Linked DNA regions of Caenorhabditis elegans. The protein of the gene in region 4 purifies or fractionates together with the protein of the main gene of each other region. This does not show direct contact. Each region holds a gene or a part of one and is shown on either strand. Other genes may lie near its edges. The genes, in order: chil-10, spig-20, aldo-1 and F32B5.1.

Region 1 (5,448 bases), on a different chromosome or scaffold from region 4:
CATCGTTTTTTTCACAGTTTTTTTTGAAAAACTGGTTTCATAGTTTATTGAAAAAAATGTGGAATTTGGCCAATCGATTTTCCGCACAGGCGACACTACAGCTAGACGATTTTTTATTTTTCAAAAACCGTAAATATTTCATTTTACGTTGTTCGGTTTTCCGGTTTTCGATTTTTAGTTTGGCTCAAAAATCCGATAAAAACTTTTTCTGAACAGATTCTGGAAATTTTTCGAAAAAAATTCGAGATTTTCGTAAATCAAAAAAACACCGTTTAAATTAAAATTAAAAGTTAAAAATTAAAAGTATAAAGAATTTTTCAACATGTTTTAAACTTCAAACAGCTTATCATCAACAAGAATTTTCTTTAAAAGTTATATATCTAACATGGCCAAACATCGTAACAAAACACTTCAAATTGTTTTTTTGAGATTTTATCATTTTAAGCAAAGTATTAAGCTGCCAGATATTTTGAAAATTATTATTTAAACATTTCAAGACTTTCTGCACAGTTTAACGTTTACAATGTACAAATTTATACAGTTAAAACGCAACTAAAAATGTTTAAAATTTTGAAACTAAAAACTGAGTTTTTTTTCCATTTTTTTTAAATCTTACAATGTTGTTTGGTGATTTTAGTAACAAATTTGTGGTATCGACTAAATTCCACTTTCAAAATTTTTAGAGCATTAAATAATTTCCAAATTTTTCCAGAATAACGATGCTCAACTGACATTGGAAGAATTCAAAGAAGGAGCCAAAGCTGACCCCTCAATTGTGCATGCTCTTTCATTGTATGAGGGTCTCTCCTCTTGACGCATTTCAATATGTTTTCTTATATCAAAATTGCAAACACTATCATCAAGCGTTATGTCCCCTTTTTTCGTCAAAATGAAAGAATCTTTAGTATAATATTTGTCTTCTTATTTACATATCAAATTCCATAGATTAAAATGTTCAAATGAAATAGGCTGAAAAATGTGAAAAGTTGAAACATTAAATCAATAAATTAGTGAAATAGTCGAGTCCCTGTCCATAATCCCAAATGGCAATTCCGACATCGTAGCGGTGAGCCATATTGATGCGAAGTTCCAGCGAGGTGAGTGATGGGAAATAGGCGATGGAATTAGAGGTCTTTACTCTGTGCTCCATTGACTTTTCGTCAAACTCCAACTTGGATTTTTCAGATTTCAATAGTGTCAAGTATCTGAAAGATAATTAATTTGTCGTAATTTAATTAACTATTGATTTGTCAATATATAAAATTAAGAAATGATTTAAGAACTTTGGCAATATTTTATGTCAAACGTTTGGCTTTACCGAATTTTGGACAATCCAGTTTCTGTATTACAGTTGTTTTTTTTTAAATATTTTCCGGATTCCACAATTTTTACAATAACTTTACAAAGGTGGCCTTGTTCAGAATCTGGAAGATTTGGAACGTGAAAAAAAAAGTTAGAAAATTGAACTAAAAAAAAAGAACGTCCGGTTTGCCATCCCAATTCCCAGTGAACAATTGTTAAACTTGCAAATCTCTTCCACATTGTTCTATTTTCTTTTCTATGTAGCTCAACAGTATAATAAGACTTTCCATTTTCGCACAACTCTTTTTTCTTTCTTAATTCTCACCTATCCGCAGTGATTGCTTCCACATTGCCTTTGGAGAACTCATAGCCGTAGAAATTGAGTCCCGCCAGTGTTTTGTGGCCACCTCCCAAGTAGAAGATACAGCTCTCAAACTGAAATGAGATAATTTTTTTTAGAATTCCACGGAAACTAATGTGTTTCTCTCTTAGTTTTTTTCAAAAGTTTGCTGGAATCTTGCTGAATTCTTAAAGAACCCCAAGAAATTGGATTTTAGTGAATAAAATTTTTGAAAACTAACCCAGTCGTATGGAGCCACACCAGCTGGTTTGTTTCCCCGGTAATCGTAGGTCATTATCTGAAAAATTGACAATCTCACAGAAGTTTCTTACAGTGTTGTTTTCAACTACACAACTTAAATTCCTCCCACTTACCTGAACAAAATCGGAAACAGCTGTGATCTTCTTAAAGTCATCCGGAGTCACGAGATTGTTGGGTTGGCTGAAAATATGTTAATTTTTCCCAAGTTTCTTATCACCAATATTTCTACTTATTCCATTCCAGGGGCGCAGGAACTGTTAGAATCACTTGCATATGCAACTTTTTCATTTGCCTCGACAAGTCTTGTATACTTTCGATGATAAACTCCTTTACTTCTAGAGACTGCACAGAGATCAATGCTTGCATGTAGAGCTCCACGACAGCGCCTTCAAACTGGTTTCTCTGGAAAAATGATGGTGATTTTTATGTTTGTGTTTCTGACGGGGATAGTCTAGACGGTATTTTTATGTCGTTGAGTCAAGTTCAAGCCCTTTATCCCGATGGGTCCACTTGTCCATAACTGAGAAGTGGAGCAATCCACGACTGGATTACCGGCCGCAGTCCAAGTTTCAAGCGAGGCTTAACATTAGCCCAGTGGAAGCTTCAGCTACAGACCCTTCAGCTTGAATGACAGACAATCATTTACCGTATATTCTCTATTAGTGCGGCATCTCTACTGCCCTTTCGAAAATTAGTGCGGCAGTCTCCAGTAGTCCGGCAGTCTCTAATAGTGCGGCACCCCTTCTTTTTGGTTGCGAAAGCCACCTCAAATATTCGGATTCTACAATGGTATCCTTGTTCATTCTTCAATAATTTCTCATAAATTTTCACGTAAACATTGCATTTCAGAGTCTTTGGTGGCAAAATACACAATTTTCATTACTTTTCACATAAAATATGAGCTTTTATGAGGGAATTTTGAGGTTACTACTCTCGAAAGTAGTAACCTCAAAGTGAAAATTAGTTATCGAAAATTAGTACGGCAGTCTCCAGTAGTCCGGCAGTCTCTAATAGTGCGCAAGTCGTGGAAGGCTCGGAAATTAGTGCGGCATGCCGCACTAATAGAGAATATACGGTAATTCTTTATTTCAAATGGAACTAACGCTGTAAAAATTGGCGATATCCTCGAAACAATGTCTTGCAACTTTTGCATCCATCAACAAGTTCTTCATCTCCTGAGCACTCCAACCATCAAACAGAATTCGAGGCACAATCGCGATGTTTTCGTTTTTTTCACGGAGCTTTTCAATCCAATCTCGGTTAATTTCATGTGTTCCTTCAATCTTGCAGCCATCCAATTTCCCGTTTTCACTGAATGCCTTGGCTTGAAACCAAACCGGAGAGACGTGAGTCAGCTTGTGAGCTGTTTTCTCCGCCAACTCGTAGCCATGCCGGTTCCACTGAAACACAATACAGTTATTTTGTTATGTAAAATTTCAATAACCGGTGTAATATACGCCAGCTGAGTGAGCCCTTCTCGGTTGTCCGGAATGTGGAACTGATCGTTGAGTTGCTCGTGCTCTCTTATAATCGACGCTTTGGAAATTGATTCTGGCTTGAATTTCAGTGTTTCGATAAGCTCTTTTCCAGTGGCTTGAGCACTGACTCCAGATATCAATATCCACGTGGCAAGTATAATAATCATTTTTTGTTAACTTTGCTATGATACCCGATACGTTTTATCCTGAAAGCTACGGCACAATTTAGACTTAAACATTAAAAAAAAAAAATTAAAAAAAGTAAATAAACCTGGCATTCAAAACCAAACAACAAAAACGTGCAATTATAGAAATATCGATAAGATTTGCAAACAATAAAACAATTTTATTTTAAGAACAATCAATAAACTAAAAAGTCCTTAAAATAGAAGAGTAATGCCATTTTATAAATTAAGTAAACTGGTTGAAAGAGCAGTGTTGAGACCAAGATGAGATACAGAGAATGTTGATGGAAGACTAAGTGCGAATTGTGAATTTACCGGCTTTCGTTATATATTTCACACCCTTGAACGGCTTGTACTTTTCGCCGTACATATCCAAACGATTGACCTGGAAACAAATTGATGTCTGTGCGTTTCAGCATGCTTATTTTGAAGATAGTTTTGAAAATATGACTTTTTTTTAACTAAAATGTATGTATAGAAAAAAATTTTAAAGTCGGTTAGGTAACACCGCAACCAATAAGGTACAGGATTGTTGATCACTTGGAGAACGGTCGAACGGTCATATTATTCTACCCAAGTTTTTAAAAAACATAGACAATTTCTGAATTCTACTAATATACTTTTTGTGAGACTGGGCAAGAATGAAAGTTTCCAAATTTTAAAACTTTATCTCACTAAAATTCTATCTCACTTCTCCAAAAAGTCGGATAAACAGCCGCACAGCGCTGATAGACAAATATAATTTTAAAAAGAATTTACATTTCCTGGATGATTTTTCCGTATAATTCCTGGTCATTCAAATTGATATCTGACGATTTTTAGGACCACTACCAAGAGTTTTCCTAGTCATATTAAAAATTTGATTACTTGATTTGTTTTTTTATAAACTTGCATGTTTTTACTTTGCAAGTATAGGGGTATTCACTTCAAGCTGATAAAGCTAACCTTTAATCCGGACAGAACCAACTGGTTAATTTTGAATTTCAGTGAAATTGGTGGATTCTCTGCAACAGTAGTTCCGCTCACAGCAACTGATCCTTTGAGTGTTGATGGTTTTCCGACTTCAATTTTTCCAATGGTCCATTGCAATAGTTTAGTCGTCGGGTCGAACGCGATTCTTCCGTGACTCGCCACCAAATTGCAGTTTTGTACACATTTTGGCATTGTGATTTCAAGAACAACGTCTTCCAGCTTAACATCGTTTTTGTTAGAGGGATTGTGATTTAGATCTTCGAAAACTCACCACTTTACCCATGCTTAGCTTTGGTCCAACTGTGAGGTCAAGTTTTCCAGCATTTGGTTTCAAGGAGATCACTTGTCTAACGTAGATTGGAATGGCAACCATACTGAAATTAATTAAGTTATAGAAATTTTATCTGTAGAATGAAAATCATTACTTTTGTGCAGCAATATGATAGGACAACAGACGAAAGTTGCCATCTGGAGGAACAAATGAAAGAACCTTCTCGTTCTGAAAAAATTGTGATTAAGATATAAATGTTATGAGCGGTTTACCTCCCAGCGCTTGTATCTGACACATGGATGGAAGGATACATCATCTAGAAGTCTTGGGTTGATAAGGGTCATTGTGAGATCAGGCATTCCGGACAGTTTACAGCAAACGTCAACCTGAAATTTGTCAAGGATAAGATGAATATATTCTTAATATTTCCAAATATTTTTCAGAATTTTTACCTCCAGAACACATGCTAGTTCAAAACGTCAGCACCCAAATTTGGTGGTGTGAAGTATTATATTATTAAAATATTTTCATTTGGTTTATTTATAATTTTGTATTTAAATCTTTAGAGGTGCACAGAACTAAACAATTTTGCAATCCGATATTCACTACAATTACAAATTGATAGAGATTATCAGTAGC
Region 2 (3,173 bases), on a different chromosome or scaffold from region 4:
TGTGCATTCATATTTGACACTGAACTGAACTGATCTCCTAAATTTCATCAGTAAAATTTTTTTGTTGTCAAGCTTTGAAACTTCGTGATTAGAGCTTATGAGACGGTAGTTTGAAAGTCAAACTAGTGTCATTTTCTCAAATTCAAAGTTTCGATTTCTGAACAGCACAAGATGCACTTTTCCTGCTCCAAAACTTTTGAAGTATTACCAGGCCGCTTCAAATTCGTTGAAGTAATTTGTTTTGGCTTCCATTTTAAACATTCCGTCGAGATCATGGAGAAACAATCTCCAAAAGCATGGCTTTCAATAAAAAATGCAAAAAAAATCAAGGATAGTGGCACTTTTGTGAAGCTTCCAAAAACATACAAGTTAAGTTTTTAGCTCAGTTCTGCAAAAATGAAGAACCATCCAATCAAAAATGCCAATTTTTGCTTTAGAGTACACAGAATCGGAGTCCAGTCAGCATTGAAATGTCTTCATTTACACCGTCAGGCTTCAAGTCTGTTCAACATCTAGGAAGTTTCCATATTTTTGAGAGAGTTCCATTTCTCGAAATTTACCGCAAATATTCATGATGTGCTCTTGTGGATCTAATAACAAAACTGATTTCCAGAATTTGACAAAAGTGACAAACTTTTTCTGTCATGATTATTTTTTCAGACCTTGTGAACTTGTGAAAACATGTATTGAAAAATTGAAAATTTCGATGTTTCTGGTAAAAATGCAATGTGACATTTATTGAAGGAAAAACAAACTAGTCAAATTATAAAAGAAATACTTTTTAACAATTACTTTCCTCCTGGGAATCCGTATCGTCCGTACCCTGCAGATGGTTGCTGGAATCGGTTTGATCTGTAGTCATTTTGTCCCCAACGAGTTTGTTTCTTCCAGTCATCGTACAAATCGTTGAGATTACGCTCGTAGTTTCCACGACGTCCATAATCAGAACGAACCTCGTGTCGGTTATAATCCCACACACCTTGCTGAAAATAATTTTGCTTTTAGAGATTTTTCAACAAAAATAAGTATGACAAACCTTTTCAAGGAATCTCTCATAAGAACTTGGCCATCCATAACGGTTTCCAGGTCCGGCAGTGACAGTTGCTAAAAGCATGGCAAACGCCAGGAAAACGGCAGTAAAGTTCATCTTGACTGATGATGTCCTGACCATTGATTCCTTCACTATTTATACTCCTTTTAAAGCTACGCCTCTTAAATTTAATGTCTAATTTTCACATTGTGTTTTTGAACTATCGGCCGCTTCGTTCATCTATTTTTTTCATCGAATTCTCGGTTACCCGGGAAACACAATCTCGATTGTAACAGTTTTCTGACAAATCAGAACGCCACCAAACAAAGATTGCGTTTCGGGAAGTGAACTGATAGCGAATAGATCAGGTTCAAATGAACAATTTAGTAATACTATTTCAAAATCCAAAATTTATATTTGTGATTGAATAATTTGTGCTCACCAACTAGATGATTTTTTGGAAGATTTTTTAAAAACGTTTTTGTGGTTGTATTTTGTGCCACTGCAAACGGTGATAAACTATAATATTCTATTATATTAACTACTTCATAATATTATTCCAAGGCAAAGGAAGTATGTTCCTCATTATTAAATTAAGAATAAAGTTCAACAATCAAACTCAGATAATAGCTGAACGTGAGAAAATTGTGTAGAAGCCTGGAAATAATTGTTTCAGGTTTTGATTATTGTCGCTTTGAATAGAAGTACTCGAAAAATGAAAACATGGTCTTTTTCGAAAATCGCCTCCCCAGAACGATCTCTCATAAGATTGTTTTCGGCAAGTTTTAGTAAAATCTGAGGTGAACAATTGAAGATAAATCGTGGCCGAGTTCTGGTTTTTTTAGGCCACGTAGTAAAAACCCTCTGTGAACCTTCTATCTTTTTGATAACATCTGTATTGATATATCTCGCATGAAAACAAAAGTTTTTTATCTGATCTTTACTTCAGTGAAAGACTGCTGTGAATTTACTCATTGTTTGAAACGTTAAGTTTTGTTAATAAGTCCATTTTTGAAATTCAAAAACATTTTGCAATCCTTATAAATGTTCACTTTGCAGTTACCATAATTACAAAAAATTACGAATTTTATTTGAGATTTTGTAAAACTAAGACAAAAACGATAGAATTATTAACAAAAAACGCCAAAATTTGTGTTTATCCCTTGAATCCGTAACGGCTATTTCCTCCAGTTGGTTGTTGGAATCTGTTGGATCTGTATCCCTTTCCTCCCCATTGGGTTTGTCTCTTCCAGTCGTCGAAAAGATCACGGAGGTCACGCTCGTAGTTCTTGCGTCCTCTGTAATCAGCACGGGCTTCGTGTCTGTTGAAGTCCCAAACTCCTTGCTGTAAATTACTTATTTAAAACTTTATTTTAAAACAATAATTTACTCACTCTCTCAAGGAATCTCTCGTAAGAGCTTGGCCATCCGTAACGGTTTCCTGGTCCAGCAGCGACGGTTGCCAAAAGCATGGCGAAAGCCAAAATAATTGCCAAAGAGTTCATTGTAGTCGAATGATGAATTTCTTGCCAAATTTTCTTTATTTATACTGTTTTTCTCAGGTACGCCTCTATATGTGCGGTCCAGTTTATACGTTGAATCACTGACCTCTGTTGTCTCCTACGTTGCATTTCGTCAATCTCTTTATCATCATTGCATCGGTTGCTAGATGTGGTGTTACGTTTTTACAAAGTATCACGATTGTGAGGTGTCAGGCTGATTAGATGAATTAAAACGGAAATAACATCATTTGAAATACAATATTTCAGATAGTTCAGGTTCAGAACCATTACGTTTTCTGTGAATCATCTGAGGTTCAGATGACTAAACAGTTAAATTTGTAGACTACGTGGCTGCTGAGTTGTTGCTCTTAAAGCACGGTATTGATGAATCCACCAATGAATATTTAATTTCAACGCAGTGATTTAGTTTCCTACTACATTTCAGTATTAATCAGTGAAAGTAATTTAATGAAAAAACTGAAAAACATTGCTGAAAATAATGATGAAAACTCTAAAGGTTTCATGGGAAATCTGAGAAATCTTAAAAAGTTCGTTTTCGTTATTTCCCATGTATATTTTTTCCCACAATTGACCCCGAAACTATTTTACGGTTTAAAAGGATCACTTTACCATTAACATAC
Region 3 (4,094 bases), on a different chromosome or scaffold from region 4:
TGGAATTGCTTAAATTTTCAGCTAATTGAGAATACGCTTGGTTAAAATTTTAAAACTTTTTACATTCCAAAAGCTTCTAAAACTTGCCAGTAACAACTTTTTCTCAATTCCGAGCTACGGTTTTCCCGCATTTTTCAAACATCTTTTTTTTTTAAGTTCCCAATATTTTTTTTTCAAAGATTTTGACAAAAACCATTTTTTCCGGCAAATTGCCGAAATTGAAATTTCCGGATCCCCTCTGATTCAAACTCTGAAAATTAGAAGAATATATATGTTAGTCGTGATAAGATGTTGCTTTTATAGATTTTGCAAGGCATTCTACCTAAATTTCCAATGGTTAAGTTTTCTTTGTGCACATTCAAATTCTGGGTCCATGAAGAAAAAAAAACAATTTCATAACCCTTCTACGTTTTCTCTAAACTCTCACTATTCGCACAATTGCATCATGCCTCCTCCATATTGCCATCTCACGCAAAAAAGCACATAGCCATTCTCAAAATATCTTTTTCACATCACGTCGTTTTCTATTCGCTGTCTTTTTTGTTGTACCCATGTTATAGTTTTGACATAGAAGCTCATTTTATTTACAAAAATGAATACATAGATGTATTGCTTGTTTTACATAAGATCCTCTTCTTGTTTTTTTTTGTCATGATTTGTCGTAGATTTTGAATTGTTTTATTAGTACGTGCCTCGCATGTTCTCGTACTTATAGTAGCCTTATAGGTCTTACGAGAATGCCCAGGGAATAAACAGAGCAGGGGTATACGGCAAATTTGCCAAATTTGCCGTTTGCTGAGCTCGGTAACTTTGCTGAATTTGCCGAGCAAGACAAATTTCAAAAAAGTAGATTTGTTAAATTTTCCGAGCTCTGCAAATTTCGATATTTGCCGCACATGCCAAAGTTTTGACATTACAACTTTGACCAAAACCATTGGTTTTGTCCCCAAAAATTGAGTAAAATGACACAAAATTGAGTTATTTTGATAATTAATACAGAGCGAGTTACGGAATATGGCAAACGAAAATGCAGTTTACTCTAGTTTTTTTTTAAATATAACTATGTGGTCTAAACCCTATAATATTGGAAAACTAGGTAAATTGTGTTTTTATCGTAGGGGCAAGTTGGCTCATTTTCGAATTAAAAAAAAAAAACAAAATGTGCCAAGTAGGGTCGATTCCTCTGAAAAACGATTGCATCATTCCAAATTTCGTAATCTCTTTTACATTATTTCAATTTCAGACTACTCCAATGAGTCCTAAACTAGGCTCGAGCTCATAGCCCGGCTGCTCTAAGTACGCCAGAGGCATATGTCTGAAAAGCAATTTCAACTTTCATATCTTCATATCTCCGCACGCTTCCGTGAACCAAATCAAATCAAATCCTCCAACGTTGAAAAGTTCAAGACTTTGGCAATTCCTGCTCCTCTCGCTTCTTCAAACTATTTCTCACGTTCTGCTCCAACAGCAGTTCTTCTTCTTTTACTTCTCACAAAATTTCGTGCAAATCACGTAGGGCCCCTCAATTCCCTCTCGCCACTCTGCACGGCTTCTCACACACTCTTGCTCTCTCGCCAGGGGCTCTCCGTCTCCCTTCTCGGCGGTGCCATCGATTCGTTTGGCGCGAGAGAGAAAGCTCCGGCTCTTTTCACTTTTATCAGCGGCCCTTGTTTTTCACCGACTTCACTCTTGCACATTTTCAGGCAACTTCATTTTCTAAAATGGCTTCTTACTCGCAATTCTTGACCAAGGCCCAGGAGGACGAACTCCGCTCCATCGCCAACGCCATCGTCACCCCAGGAAAGGGAATTCTCGGTAAGTAACGATATTAAATTTGGGAAACAAAATTTGGCATTTTGTGTGTTACAAATCTAATCTCTAATCTCTCCAATCTCCCTGAAATTCGAATTTGCAGCCGCCGATGAGTCCACCGGATCCATGGACAAGCGTCTTAACAGCATCGGACTCGAGAACACCGAGGAGAACCGCCGCAAGTATCGTCAACTTCTGTTTACCGCCGGAGCCGACCTCAACAAGTACATCTCGGGAGTCATCATGTTCCACGAGACATTCTACCAAAAGACCGACGACGGAAAGCCATTCACTGCTCTTCTCCAGGAGCAAGGAATCATTCCAGGAATCAAGGTTGACAAGGGTGTCGTCCCAATGGCCGGAACCATCGGAGAGGGAACCACTCAGGGATTGGATGACTTGAATGCTCGTTGCGCTCAATACAAGAAAGACGGAGCACAGTTCGCCAAGTGGAGATGCGTGCACAAGATCTCATCTACGACTCCATCAGTGACTGCTCTTAAGGAAATTGCCTCCAACTTGGCTCGCTATGCTTCAATTTGCCAACAAAATGGACTTGTACCAATTGTTGAGCCAGAGGTAATTACCGAGAGTCGAGAGCCGAGAGTCGCACAGCACTGGTACCTACCCACCTAAGTTCCTTTTGGGGGGATGTAGTCGTAGATCGGCTTGAATGTAATACTTAGAACGGTTTTCACAGAAAATTTTAATATTCGATGCAAAACCCAAGTTAATGCCACGTCCGTTACTTGGGTCTCGCAGCAGTTTTTTTTTTGTAAAAAAAATATAATTGGCACTCTAATTAGTTATCATTTCAGATCCTCCCAGACGGTGAACACTGCTTGGCTCGCGGACAGAAGATCACCGAGACCGTGCTCTCATATGTGTACCACGCTCTCAACGAGCATCACGTCTTCCTCGAGGGAACCCTCCTCAAGCCAAACATGGTCACCTCCGGACAATCATTCACCGGCGAGAAGCCATCGAATGCCGATATCGGACTCGCCACCGTCACCGCCCTCCAACGCGGAGTCCCATCCGCCGTTCCAGGAGTCGTCTTCCTCTCCGGTGGACAATCCGAAGAGGATGCCACATTGAACTTGAACGCCATCAATCAAGTGAGCGGAAAGAAGCCATGGGCCCTCACATTCTCCTATGGACGTGCTCTTCAAGCCTCCTGTCTCGCCAAGTGGGCCGGAAAGGACGAGAACATCGCAGCCGCCCAAGAAGTCCTGCTCCATCGTGCTCAGGTCAACTCCCTTGCCTCTGTCGGAAAATACACCGGGGATGCTTCAGCTGACGCAGCCGCTTCCCAATCCCTCTTCGTCGCCAATCATTCTTATTAAATGGCCACGCTCAGGATCTCTTTTTTCTCATTTTTTAAAACTATTCAACGCACGTAGAATTATGTGTCTGTATACCCCTTTAATTGTCATTATTTGCTTCTCTAAGTCTCTTCGGATTTAATAAATCTTTGGTAGATACGAATGCACAATTAAAGAGAGATGTATCTTTGGAACATTTGATTCAAGCAGACAGACAATTGAGCGATGGCTCGTCGCGATGCATTCATAGTGATGACGTCAAGATGTCTTCTACTACTCACTATTCCTTGTAGGTTTATGTGTCTGCTCAATTGTTGAGAACAGAAGGTGCCTAGTGTAAGTGCGAGAGAACAATTTCCCAGTGGAGCCGTTTAACCTTGGGCAGGTGCGATGCACATTTTCAGATCGATATCTAACCAGTTGCACACTATTCGCAACGCATTACAGCCATTCATTTGTCCATTGCAATGTACTACCGCGAAGTGAGAGGATCTGAGATCTTCTATACCAAGTACTATGGTCCGCCAACTGAAAAGGATACCTTGGCTGCCAAGAACCCTTTTGAAATGTAAGTGTTTTTAAAACTAAATTTTCTAAATTTCCAATAGTAAATGTGTTACACCCTGTCGTTGGATTGTTTTTGTTTTCCAAGTTGTTTGATCTTCAGAAATCGACTAACCGAGATTTTTAAAAGTCAAACGAATAAATCAAACAAAACCAATATAAACATTTCCAGGATGGACTATGCCTTAAAATCCCCGGAGCACCTAACTTCCGCCCATTCATACACAAAGAATAACCACTGTCAATGCTATGAAATCGCAGTCGATATCTGTTCTGAGCCACGTGTTCGTGTGAAGGGTCTAGACCGTTGTTGGGAGTACCAGATCCAATCTACCGTGAATGCTCCGCCAACTCCTGGAGAGATGCGAGTCATTGAATTTCTCAAGGTTTACA
Region 4 (4,620 bases):
ACCATGTTTCAATCGTCACTATTAGGCTTTATCTCAGCTCAACTTAGAATTAATAATAAAATTTCAACCAAAAAACTATAGAAGATTAGATAACACATATTTTGTCAGTTGAACAATTTTTGATAAAACTAAGTTTATTTGAGTTATGGTCTAGTGAAGTTGAATGAGGTGTATTCAGCTTTATCAGATCTAACAAGGGAAGTATTTCAACTTAATTCCGGACATCTGAACATAACCTATGCCATTCGGACCTATGCCTTCTGAATAGGCCCCTACGAAAAAAATTTAGCGGCAGAGGAGCACTTTGAACAGGAAAAAAGTCCCACTGAAAATTTTTCAGTGCATTTTTTCACAATTCTCGAGGTTTCTAAATTGGCTCCAAATGTGAATTTTTGCTAATTTTTTATGCTTTCTAGGATGTTCAGGGGTCGGCAAACATTCAGAATTTTTTAAATAATTTTTTATAATTTAAAAAAAAACTCAATTTTTTTTGAATCCATGAGAATTTTTTCGAAAATTAAAAAAAATTCCAAAAAACGAATCTGAATGATTTCCGGCTCCTGAACACCCTAGAAATCATCAAAAATCTGCAAACATTCACATTTGGAGCCAATTTACGGACTGCTAAAGTTGGGAAAAAATGCACTGAAAAATTTTCAGAGCGACTTGTTTCAAGTGCTCAAGCTCAAGTCAAAAGAGTAAAAGTAGGTGATAGAGTGAGAGAAAGAAAAGAAACATAGAAATCATTCTACTACCATTTATTTAAATAGTTAATAGAGAAATACAATATGACTAAACGAGTTTTTCTTCTTCTTCCAGTTTACTTCTGCTTCTCCTCCATTTCAATTAGCTTCTTCACTCCGTCGTACATTTGTTTCACAGCTTGATATTCCGAGAGTCCTAGGCGAGCCTGAAAAGTTGGAAATGTTGATTTTTCAACAAAAAACGTGGTTTATTTACCTTGTTAGAAATGTCATAGACTCCTCCAACAGAATCCGAGTGTTCTCCGTGGATTCCGCGCACTTGGAGATTGAGCTTCTCGCAAATCTCGATGAAGTCCTTGCGGGCGGCGAGCTTTGGAAGAGCAATGTGGACGGATGCACGAACTGTTGATCCGAGGTTTGTTGGGCAGAATGTCAGCCATCCGAGACGGTCATCACGGGAGAATGGAACCTGGAAAACATAATATGTTGAGTTTCGGAGCCTTATTAGAAAATCAACCTGCTTCTCAATTCCGCGAACTCCCTTGATAAGTCTGTCAAGCACAGCTCCGACATCAGACCCTTCTTGCATTGAAATGATTCTCATATGATCTTCCTCGTTCACCCAAATCAGGAAAGTCTTGTCGTTATTGTGGAAGATACCACGTCCCTTTGGCCAGAAGTTGCAGGCATTTGCGTATTGAAGATGTCTATCTCCCTCCTTGAACAGGAAATGATCAGCAATCAGCTGCTTCTGAGTATCCTTGCCCATACCATCCAATGGATAGTACTTGCCCTTGAGTTCCTTGTCCGAATATTCAGAGAACGCCTTCTTCACCTTTCCTTCCATCTCAAGATAGTTGTCCTGAGTGAGACATGGATTGAATGGATATCCCTTCAAAGAACGTCCACATCGGATTCTCGTCGACTTGATGTACTTTCCTTTTGGATCCAATGGTGGGAATTCCTTAGTCTTTCCCTCTCCAAGATCAACTGGTGGTTGCTTCTGCTTTGGACTGAATCCGTGATAATCCTCAATGATCTTGTCGAACAATGGAGCGAACAAAGTGTAAGCTTCAGCGTCCGGAGCGTAGACTCCAACTCCGGCGTCCAAATTGTAGACACCTGACCGGATGCAGTCGTAAAGGGTTGCTCCGACCTTTGTGCGCTTTGTCTTAAGCTTCTCGACGACTTCCTTGGTCAAATGCTTCTTGAGCAGCGACTTGCACTTGGCTCCTTCTGGACCATTGAGCTTGGCGTAGGCCTCCTCGATCTTCTTGATCGTGGCAGCGTCGACTTCGGATTTGGCTTGAAGTTGCTGAAAAATTATAATTAGAGATTTGTAAAGCTTTTTCTGAAAAATCGACTCCCAGAATATATATTCTCATGTCAGAGTTTCAGCTCGCGCGTGGAACGGCTCAAACAGAAAAGTTGATTTACAAACTTCAAAATGATGACAAATCACGTGTTCTGGGCATACCGCTCCGGACGCAGCTGCGCTGGGAGCCCCCTCAAATTGGCTTCAGAGTTGCGCGGTCCCTGATTAAAGGGAGCAAGGAAATATTTCTGAAAATTGCCCTTTTTTGGCTTTAGAATTACCTGTGGAGTGAGTGTGTAGACTGCGGATCCGGCTCCAAGAGCAGCGAGCACTCCAGCGACATACCGCGAGTTTGTTGAACGGAGAAATTGCGATGCCATTTCGACGAGACGAAGAGTTGAGTGAGAAGAATCGAATTTCAAACGAGAACTTCTTCGGTAATAACCAATCTGAGCTTTTTTCATGACACGTTGACATTTGGAAAACACGTGGAAAGATTTAGAAATTAGATAAGAAAATTGTCACGTTTTTAAAAAAATGTTTTGGAAAGTTTTGTTCAAAATTTTTTTCTCAAGCTTTTGAATTTAAATACGTGAGAAGCTTGTTTTTATTTTTGCGCTGGATCGATGCACCCTATTTTGTGCGCAAAGATCAAAAGTTATTCTGGTGGGTCTCGCCACGATCTTTGGAGAATTGGTGGTAAACTTTCAGACTGTTCAGTGGCTTAGGCTTCGGCTTCGGCTAGGCCTAGACTATACTATTACCTACCTTACCTATCCTTAAACTTGCCTTTTTGGATAATTTCAAGGTCAGCACAATGATAACGACGTGTCTAGACACTTGTTTCCTCAAAACCTTCCAAATCCCCAGGACAAAAGAAATGGTTAAACTTTCGATTTTTTATTGCATTTCAAAAACTAGAACCTATTCAAAAACAGACAAAAAGTAAAAGAACAAAAAGACAAAGAAAAGATGATTTATCGGAGGAGACGGAAACCAGAACAAATGGACAATCGAGAGCATCGACTACTTTGGAGCACACGTAGTGACGGGATACAGCTGGGTTCAGGAGCTGGAAATTAATTTTTTTGTATAGAAAAATGATTTTTTTACAAAACCCTTTACCTGTGCACAAATCTCATGATCCCCTGGTATTCTTTTCAACGGAACATTCATCTCCTTCCACCCTTCAACTCCGAATGTTCCAATATGATCGGAATGGATTTTTGTGGATCCTTCGAAGATTCTATAACTTAAGCTGACACTATTCGATGAATATGTCCAATCATCTGCAAATCGGATCAGAAGCTCGGTGGAGTCACATCCATTCAGTCTGGAAATAAAGAATTATCTCTTTTTGAACTGTAGGCCATGTCAAAATTTTTGTTTTTCTATAGAAGGCTTATAGGCTTAGGCTTGAGCTTAGACTTAGGCTTAGGTTTAGGCTTAGGCTTAGTCTTAAGCTTTGGCTTAGGCTCAGGCTCAGGATCAGGCTTAGGCTTAGAAGGTAAATATATTAAAACCACAAGGTCTGGGTATGCTTTGAGTAGGCTTCGATGCACTTAGAAATTCTTATTTATGTGCCTACAAGGCAGGCGAAAAAGAAAAAGAAACCTAGGTTGCCTTCAAAGTAAGATGACATTCTTAAAGGCAGGCGGGTAGAAATTTGTTGCCTGCTTGGAAGCTTGTGTTCAGAGCAAGAGCTACAAATTTTACTGCTTTTTATAAAGCCTTTAATACGATTTATGTGAATATCCAAATTTCGTATTCCCATTTTTTTTTCTAAATTCACCCACCTCGATTCAATTTTCAGTAATCGTTTCAGCCAAACATGTTCTGATCCATTTCTCCTCATTTCTTCGCTCATCTTGACTATAAAGTTCTGAGTATCATTTGCCCAATACGTGCCTGAAAATTGGAGCTGCTGATTTTTCACAAAAATATGAAACAACTGACCATACTCTCCATTTCTGAACGTCTCGTATCGAATTGTGGATTTCCATTCAATTTGGTACCATTCATTTGATGTAAATTTGCATGCCACGTATTCCTGCAAAAAAGTTTAGATTGGGTTGAAGAAATTTTGAAACTTTTTGAAAAATAATTTATTTTTTTACCATTTCGACCAAAAAAAATTCCAAAATGTTTTATCACCTCAAAAACTCAATAAAGTTAAATCGGAAAAGCGGCAGATTTGCAACTTGCCGGATTTAAACATTTTCGGCAAATCGGGAAACCGGCAACTTGGCGGAATTAAAAATTTCCGGCAAATCGGCGAATCGGCAAAATTGCCGGAAATGAAAGTTTCCTGCAAAACGGCAAATCGGCTAATTGGCAATTTGCCGAAAATTAAAATTTCCGGTAAATCGCCATATTGCCGGAATTGAAATTTTCCGCTAAATCGGCAAACCGGCAGATTACCGGAAAAAAAATTTCCGGCAAATTAGCAATTTGCGGAAAATTAAATTTTCCGCCAAATCAGCAAACCGGCAATTTTGCCGATTTCATATGGGAAAAGACTTTAGATGACTTCTAAAAAAAAACCCAAGCCTACCGGATACACCGTTGGCACATTAACAATCGGACATTCTTGATTTGTCG

Evidence for each region.
Region 1: the proteins of F32B5.1 (region 4) and chil-10 fractionate together in Caenorhabditis elegans (co-fractionation; one large-scale study listed by BioGRID). This does not show direct contact.
Region 2: the proteins of F32B5.1 (region 4) and spig-20 fractionate together in Caenorhabditis elegans (co-fractionation; one large-scale study listed by BioGRID). This does not show direct contact.
Region 3: the proteins of F32B5.1 (region 4) and aldo-1 fractionate together in Caenorhabditis elegans (co-fractionation; one large-scale study listed by BioGRID). This does not show direct contact.

Annotation. Positions count from the first base shown.
Region 1 is NC_003284.9:956,027-961,474, reverse strand, and holds chil-10 (GH18 domain-containing protein), read right to left. Parts: upstream 3,595-5,448; 5' UTR 3,549-3,594; coding exon 3,348-3,548; intron 3,304-3,347; coding exon 3,007-3,303; intron 2,306-3,006; coding exon 2,133-2,305; intron 2,084-2,132; coding exon 2,017-2,083; intron 1,941-2,016; coding exon 1,884-1,940; intron 1,738-1,883; coding exon 1,628-1,737; intron 1,206-1,627; coding exon 995-1,205; 3' UTR 907-994; downstream 1-906. Other genes in the region: ncs-1 (Neuronal calcium sensor 1), read left to right, coding at 713-814; apm-3 (MHD domain-containing protein), read right to left, coding at 3,859-3,951, 4,512-4,757, 4,810-4,912, 4,964-5,037, 5,082-5,195.
Region 2 is NC_003284.9:6,084,115-6,087,287, reverse strand, and holds spig-20 (Neuropeptide-Like Protein), read right to left. Parts: upstream 1,165-3,173; 5' UTR 1,148-1,164; coding exon 1,037-1,147; intron 984-1,036; coding exon 789-983; 3' UTR 721-788; downstream 1-720. Other genes in the region: C45B2.2 (Neuropeptide-Like Protein), read right to left, coding at 2,187-2,375, 2,425-2,535.
Region 3 is NC_003281.10:13,562,547-13,566,640, reverse strand, and holds aldo-1 (Fructose-bisphosphate aldolase 1), read left to right. Parts: upstream 1-1,703; 5' UTR 1,704-1,721; coding exon 1,722-1,815; intron 1,816-1,915; coding exon 1,916-2,391; intron 2,392-2,630; coding exon 2,631-3,158; 3' UTR 3,159-3,295; downstream 3,296-4,094. Other genes in the region: T05D4.2 (F-box associated domain-containing protein), read left to right, coding at 3,605-3,705, 3,874-4,094. UniProt on the Caenorhabditis elegans protein: May be involved in the metabolism of fructose-bisphosphate (beta-D-fructose 1,6-bisphosphate) and of fructose 1-phosphate.
Region 4 is NC_003279.8:2,698,283-2,702,902, reverse strand, and holds F32B5.1 (arginine kinase), read right to left. Parts: upstream 2,484-4,620; coding exon 2,301-2,483; intron 2,287-2,300; exon of another isoform or gene 2,065-2,286; intron 2,020-2,064; coding exon 1,222-2,019; intron 1,174-1,221; coding exon 961-1,173; intron 911-960; coding exon 821-910; 3' UTR 745-820; downstream 1-744. Other genes in the region: F32B5.2 (Glycoprotein), read right to left, coding at 2,948-3,091, 3,145-3,352, 3,816-3,927, 3,976-4,069, 4,574-4,620.